Macaca mulatta: one gene and its partner. The protein of the gene in region 1 interacts with the protein of each later gene in a biochemical or structural test. Links are inferred from orthologs where the notes say so. Each region holds a gene or a part of one and is shown in the gene's direction. Other genes may lie near its edges.

The links.
Region 2: the proteins of CD2 (region 1) and CD58 form a complex in vitro, tested with the Homo sapiens proteins (3 studies listed by BioGRID and IntAct, with this or other methods). The link is inferred for Macaca mulatta from reciprocal best matches to the Homo sapiens genes CD2 and CD58.

What each region holds. Positions count from the first base shown.
Region 1 is NC_133406.1:123,521,895-123,525,717, reverse strand, and holds part of CD2 (T-cell surface antigen CD2 precursor), read left to right. Parts: intron 1-3,497; coding exon 3,498-3,728; intron 3,729-3,823. UniProt on the Homo sapiens protein: CD2 interacts with lymphocyte function-associated antigen CD58 (LFA-3) and CD48/BCM1 to mediate adhesion between T-cells and other cell types. CD2 is implicated in the triggering of T-cells, the cytoplasmic domain is implicated in the signaling function.
Region 2 is NC_133406.1:123,743,254-123,747,076, forward strand, and holds part of CD58 (lymphocyte function-associated antigen 3), read left to right. Parts: intron 1-3,326; coding exon 3,327-3,590; intron 3,591-3,823. UniProt on the Homo sapiens protein: Ligand of the T-lymphocyte CD2 glycoprotein.

The sequences.
Region 1 (3,823 bases):
TGGGATTACAGGCGTGTACTACCACGTCCAGCTAATTTTTGTATTTTTTTTTTGCGGGGGGTGGGGACGGAGTCTGGCTCAGTCGCCCAGGCTGGAGTGCAGTGGCGCGATCTTGGCTCACTGCAAGCTCCGCCTCCCGGGTTCACACCATTCTCCTGCCTCAGCCTCCCAAGTAGCTGGGACTACAGGCGCCACCACCACGCCCGGCTAGTTTTTTGCATTTTTAGTAGAGATGGGGTTTCACTGTGTTAGAGATGCCATGTTGGTCAGGCTGGTCTCAAACTCCTGACCTCAGAGGATCTGCTTGCATCAGCCTCCCAAAGTGCTGGCATTACAGGTGTGAACCACGGCACCCAGCCTCCAAACTTCTCAAACTCCAGTAGTTGTGCCTGCATTTCCTTCATGAGGGAGTTGCTGCTGCAGGCTGAAGAGGCAGTGGAGGGCTCCTTAGAAGCATATGCTGGTAGGGAAGGGGTTAATCCCAGCAACTCAGAACTAAGGAGTTCTCAACCATGGAAGGCCTTAGGTTGGATCGGTTCTAAGATGCTATCTTAGTGAATGTATACGGAGGTACCACTCCACAACTCCCGTCACTGCGTTGTTCATGTTAGCGAAATGCTAGAACAGTCAGCAGTCAGAAATTTATTAATCAATTAAATTAAGAATGCATCCTTTAAAAAGATGGAGATATGCATTTATTGATGTTCATTTAAAAAAGAATGTCATAATATAATTTCACAATAAAGGGAAAAAGGCAGACTATAAGATCACATAAACTAGTTTTAATTTTAAAAATATTACATATATATAGAGAGAGAGAGAGAAGGGGAGAGAGAGAGAGAGAGAGAGAGAGAGAGAGAGAGAGACAGGGTCTCACTCTGTCGTCCAGCCTGGAGTGCAGTGGCGCAATCTTGGTTCACTGCAGCCTCTGCCTCCTGGGTTCAAGCAATTCTCATGCCTCAGCCTCCTGAGTAGTTCGGATTACAGGCGCGTACCAACACACCTGGCTAATCTTCGTATTTTTAGTAGAGATGGATTTCACCATGTTGGCTAGGGTACTCTTGAACTCCTGGCCTCAAGTGATCCGCCCACCTCAGCCTCCCAAAGTGCTGGATTACAGGCATGAGCCACCTCACCCAGCTGAAGTATTACATTATTTATATATGTACACATAAATAGAAAATATCTGATAAAGATATACATGAAAATATTATTCATTATTGACTTTGAGTGGTGGCATTGTGGGTAATTTTTAATCTGCTTTAAACTTTTAAAAATATTTTATCAACTTGTACAATAACTGAAGTTGAAAGCCCACGAATGCTGGGCAGGGAGTGATAAGAAGGGAAAAGAGGAAGCTGCACTTGGCTTGGGGAGGCAGACAGGAACCCCAGCATGAGCACAGGCCAGCCATTCAGTGAGCAAATAAGCATTTCTGTGCTTCACACAGAAAATGTCGCCAGAAGCAGGGTCCCCTCCTTCTTCCTCTCTGTCTCCAGCCCCGTCTTCAGCACCTGGGCCTACCAGCAATCCCAGACAGTGTCAGATTGCCCAGTCCAGCAATCCCAGACACTGTCAGCTCCCCTGCAGTGACAACTTTCCACACCCTAGTCCTGCAACCCTGAGTGGGAGCACCTTGTAGAAATGTAGCGGGGTTGAGCATGGCGCTCAAAAGGGCCCCTGATTATGGGCTCTGGAAACCACAGATCTCAGGACTCCAAACAGCACAAAATTTGAGTGTCCTGTTTTGAGTGTGAGCCCTACGCGGGAGACCATGCTGGTGTTTTCACATTTGGGTCGCATTTAGCATTGCGGTGGAAATAGTGGCTACCAGCTAGGGGTCAGGTGCTTGCTTACATGATCTTACTTAAAGCTCCCAACAATACTGAGACATGGCTGTTATTATCTCCTTGTTAAATACAAGAAAACAGAGACCTAGTCAGAAGCAGCTTGTCCAAGGTCTCATTGCTTGACAGGAGCAAAGTCAGGATTCAAACTCAGAGGTCTTTTTGGCAAGGATGATGGCCTTTTCTCTTTTTTTCCATGCAGCTTCATTGAGATAATTCACCTAGCATTCAATTTGTCCATATACTAAAATGGCCTTTAGTATATTCAGTTTTGCAACCATCATCACAATCATGTTACTGTGTTACTGTTATAAGTAGAAAAAAAAAAAATCCATTCTGAAGAGACAGGCAAACTTCATGACCCAACCCCTAGACTATGTACTAACTGGTTGCTGAGTGTAGATACTTTCCATTTTCTTCCTTCTCAGTAACGCCGATAGCATCTTAGAACTGATCATCATGGGATGAGAAGAAAACTTTTAAATTAATTTCTGCATGCCTATATATATTGGGACATAAATGAAGTTTGACTGTCATGTTCCATGGGGAAGATATTGGTGTCTGGAAGTCAGAGTGGGAGGGAATCATTGAAAAATAAGCTAGTGGGTCTATATTATGAATGGAGAGAAACTGAGAGGGAAAAGTGGCAAGTCTGGGGGAAACAAAGCAAAGAATTAGAAAAAAAAAAAAAAACCAGAGGAGGAGGAAAAAGAGAAGGTCACACAGCTAGGAAGTGATGGGGCTAGGATGTAGACCTGAGCCATCTAATGTCAAGCCCAGGCATTTTCCTTTTATGATGCAGTCTCTCTCCGGGAGAGGCAAGAAGTTTGTGATTATTGAATGCATGAACTACCACTAATAATGTCAGTGCCTAATGATCTGCCCAGGACTTTGCCACATGTTGCTCCTTTTGTGACAGGTGGGGCATGTTTTTCTGATCCTTTTCTGATGCTCTGAGGAGGGCCAGTGTAGACCCTGTGAGCAGCTGAGCAGCTCTGGGCTGGGAAAAGGCAGAACCAAGTCTCTGGTTCCCAGGCAGGTGCTCTTTTTCCCCAGAGCCTTGAGCTCCTTGGACACCCACGTGCTCACATGTACCCACCTGGCCCTCTGCTCCAGGAACTTGGTTGGGGCAGAAGTATCCGAGGTCCCCGTTCACATGTCAATGTGGCGATTCCTCCAGGATGGGGTTCCTGGCTGCTCTTAAAGCATTGCCCTTCTCAAACTCCCGAGGCACCCTCTTAGCCATATTCCTAAACCCTGACTGCCATGTTTTATTTAGATGGTGCCCTAAGGCCACTCACTGAACCTCTCAGAGCCTTGAACATTTTTTTCTGTAAATGGGAAGAAAAACATCAGCCTCTCTGTTAGGATTAAGTGGTATCATACATGTGAAAGCATTTTAAGGTATAAGACAGCATATAAACATTACATATGATACATTATTTAGTGGCAAAATGTATCTATGAATGTCATCAGAAATAATTTTTTTCTGAATGCTCTTTGTAAATAAAATCATTTCCAAAAGGTGCTAGAGGTCTTTGACATGGTTCCCTTGTCCCTAACTGACTCCATCCCCCACTATATAAATAGATATGCTCATTAAAATCAGAAAATTGCCTAAATTGAACTGGATCTTTATTTTCTTTTTAGAGAGGGTCTCAGAACCAAAGATCTCCTGGACTTGTATCAACACAACCCTGACCTGTGAAGTAATGAATGGAACTGACCCCGAATTAAACCTGTATCAAGATGGGAAACATGTAAAACTTTCTCAGAGGGTCATCACACACAAGTGGACCACCAGCCTGAGTGCGAAATTCAAGTGCACAGCAGGGAACAAAGTCAGCAAGGAATCCAGGATGGAGACTGTCAGCTGTCCAGGTGCGTGGCAGGCGTCACTTCACAAACACAGCTCTCCAGGCCCTCAGGAAGTAGAGGCAAGCTGCTCCAGGTCACAGGTGCTCATGCTGGGAGGC
Region 2 (3,823 bases), about 220 kb from region 1:
TCTTCTCATCATATCACATATACCCTCTGGGGAGCCTTGGCTTCCTGGAGTTGGAAACTCACAGCCAATGGCCATGTGCTCTATTACAGCTAGCATTTGTTAACTACTTACTCTGTGCAGGCACTACATGTTAATTCACATATTGATTATTATCTGTATTAACTCATTTAATCTCATTACAGTCTAATAGAGTAAGTGCTATTTGTGTCCTTGTAGAAAGGAGGAAACCTAGACACAGGTGATTTAAGTAACTTGTCCAATGTCAAATGGCTCTTAGCTGTCATGAAGCTGGGATATGAATTCAAGCAGTTGGGCTTCTGAGTCCATGCTAAACACCATACTGTACCTCTTTGGCGGTAGCTGGTAGAAGAATTTACATTTTGTTTGAAGACTGTCTCTCTGAATCTATCCTTCTATCCATCTGTCTCCCCATCTGTCCAGTACTACTTGTGAGGAGCCATCTGTGTGCCTTGCGTTATGTCAGGTGCCGTGGTTGAAAGGTGAGGCATACCTAGTCTTTGTCCTCCAAAGATGCACAGTCTCTGGGGCTGATGATGCACCTCTGTTCAGTTCAGAAAGTGCTGGATGAAAGACTAGACATTGGCAGAGCTAGATCAATACATTAGAATCTGTAACAGAACGAATAGGGCACACACATCAGACGTACCTGGGATGGTGGGGCTCAGGAATCTGTATTTTTAACAAGCACCCTTGGTGATTCTTATGCACCTTAAAATTTGAGAAATGCTTCAAAGGACCATTTCTTTTTTTTTTTTTTTTTTTTTGAGACGGAGTCTCGCGCTGTGTCACCCAGGCTGGAGTGCAGTGGCGCGATCTCGGCTCACTGCAAGCTCCGCCTCCCGGGTTCACGCCATTCTCCTGCCTCAGCCTCCGAGTAGCTGGGACTACAGGCGCCCGCCACCACGCCCGGCTAGTTTTTTTTTTGTATTTTTAGTAGAGACGGGGTTTCACCATGTTAGCCAGGATGGTCTCGATCTCCTGACCTCGTGATCCACCCGCCTCGGCCTCCCAAAGTGCTGGGATTACAGGCTTGAGCCACCGCGCCCGGCCTCAAAGGACCATTTCTAAGGAAGTAGAAAGCTTGGTTTTCTGCCACTGAGAAATGCCCAGCCTAGTTACAGAGGCAGGCATAAGTATATGAAATACTGAGAACAGGCATTTTTGAACTATTCTGGGGATGCATGTTCCTTGGAAGTCCCCTGAGGGCTGCTATTGGGTGGGGTTGGCAAAGGGACCACAGGAAGTTAGGGGAGCAGGGCTCTAGGCTTTCAATTTTGAGTCAACTAGAGCAACTTCTTATCCATTGGACTGGATTGCACTGAAGATTTAATTCAGAGAAATTCCACTGCTTAAAAGATGATTAAAAGTCTTTTTAATTTAAGAAAATCTTAAGGAAGTATGTAAGGACTTATGTGAGCTAGATTAAACTTAAAAGCTAGGAAGCCCCAAGTAGAAAGGGAAGTCAGTGTGTGCCTCTGGTTTCTACCAAGGCAGCTGGGTACATTATTTAACTGAGCGAGAAGGAATTCAGGAGGAGGAGGAGAAGATGGGGGAACCATTAAACACTTTTATTTTTCAGATTATAATTGAAGCATAAGCTATTAACTTGTTTTATATTATAAAACATCATTTTAAATGACAACATAGTATTCCATTATCTTGGTGAACCTAAATTTACTTAGATGCTCTTCTAATAGATGTTTATAATGTATCAATACTTTATTATCCCAGTGCTACCATGACCATTGTTGTATATTACATATGTTTTTGCATGTTTCCTCAAGCCTCTTATGATTAATTGCTGGAGGGTAGCTGAAATGCAAGAAGGCATATGAATTAACAAATAAAGGACCAGTAGGACAAAGTAATTAGCCTTGAGGCTTTTAAAGGGCAACAATGGCAGAATGTGACATGTTAGTGTCTTAACTCATAGATCCACGCTGCCTTAGCCAATAGGAGGCGCTTCTTAGAGGAAGGGTGGGAGTGAGGCCTCTGGACTGGCAGGTCTGTGACACATGCTGCACCCGGCGCTGCCTATTAATAGGGCCAACCCAACCAATAGGCAGGCCTGACAAGGCTCTGTGTAGCTCCATCTTTCACAAAATGCTTTGAGTCAGATGTGTTATGGAATTAAAATTTCTTTTTTACATTTTGGAAAGGTAATACAAGATATTTCCTCTGCATATTAAGCACCCCACTTAATTATGGGGAGCACCCTGTGGGTCAAGCATAGGAACAAGTATTTATTTCATTCCTATATATTTAGAGGTCTCAGTCTGATACAGTCATAGCCCAGTGTGTGCAGTGAGCTAGAGTGAATTAGCACAATCATAACTCACTGTAGCTTCAGACTCCTTGGTTCAAGTAGTCCCAAGTACCTGAGACTATAGGCAGGAGCCATCATTGCTGGCTGATCTTTAAACTTTTTATAAAGACAGGGTCTTGCTATGTTGCCCAGGCTGGTCTTGAACTCTTGACCTCAAGCCATCCTGCTGCCTCAGCCTCCCAAAGTGCTGGGAGTATGTATAGCCATGAGCCACTGTGTCCTGCCAAGCACAGGAATATTTTTGTGGTGAAACGATAATGAATATTTGAAGTAAGTGAGAAAATAAAGACTATAAATCCTTGTGTTAATTCAGGTCAGGTCAGGGTTTGCAGCTTAATGATTTTGCTACCAACTTGTGAAGACTCTTTTGGCTTCAGAGATTTTTTGATTTCAGAATTGAGGATAAGGGATTTGGGGCCTGTACTGGTCTGTTTTCACACTGCTATAAAGATCTATCTGAGACTGGGTAATTTATAAAGAAAAGAGGTTTAATGGACTCACAGTTCCATATGGCTGGGGAGGCCTCAGGAAACTTACAATCACAGCGGAAGGCGAAGGAGAAGCAAGCATTTTTTTCACAAGGCAGCAGGAGAGAGAGAGAACTGCCATACACTTTTAAACCAACAGATGTCATGAGAACTCACTCTCTATCATGAGAATAGCATGGGGAAACCACCCCCCATGGTACAATCACCTCCCACCAGGTCCTTCCCTTGACACATGCGGATTACAATTCAAGATGAGATTTGGGTGGGGACCCAGAGCAAAACCATGTAAGGGTCTGAATTTATTCTGTTAAATTTGAACAGGTAGGTCTGACCTAGCAAAAGAAAGAATTCTCAGTCCTTGATGCTCAAGGAGTTTGTCTGCTCATCCTTTCAAGCTCATAAGGAAGTTGGGAGCTCTTCATAAATTTGCAGATGATGAGTCTAAATATTACTATTTTCTGTACTAAATATTACACTTTTTTTTTTTCCAGAGCCTCTTCCATCTCCTACACTAACTTGTGCATTGACTAATGGAAGCATTGAAGTCCAGTGCATGATACCGGAGCATTACAACACTCATCCACAACTTAACACGTACTCATGGGATTGTCCTTTGGAGCAATGTAAACATAACTCAACCCGTATATATTTTAAGATGGAAAATGATCTTCCACAAAAAGTACAGTGTACTGCTAGCAATCCATTATTTAAAAGAACATCATCAATCATTCCGGAAACCTGTATCCCAAGCAGTGGTGAGTAAATAACTAAATGTGTCATGGAGGCTTTCAAACCACAGATGTGGTGACTAACCTAAGGTTCACAATTTTGAAATGTAAAACAAGTTACAATTTTTAACAGAAACCCCATTATAGATGTAAAGCTAACATTATTTAGCACTTTCTGTGTTGAGCACCATTCTAATACATATGTTAATTAATTCAATCTTCACTTATCCCTATTTCCTGGTGAGAAACCAACAGAGAGA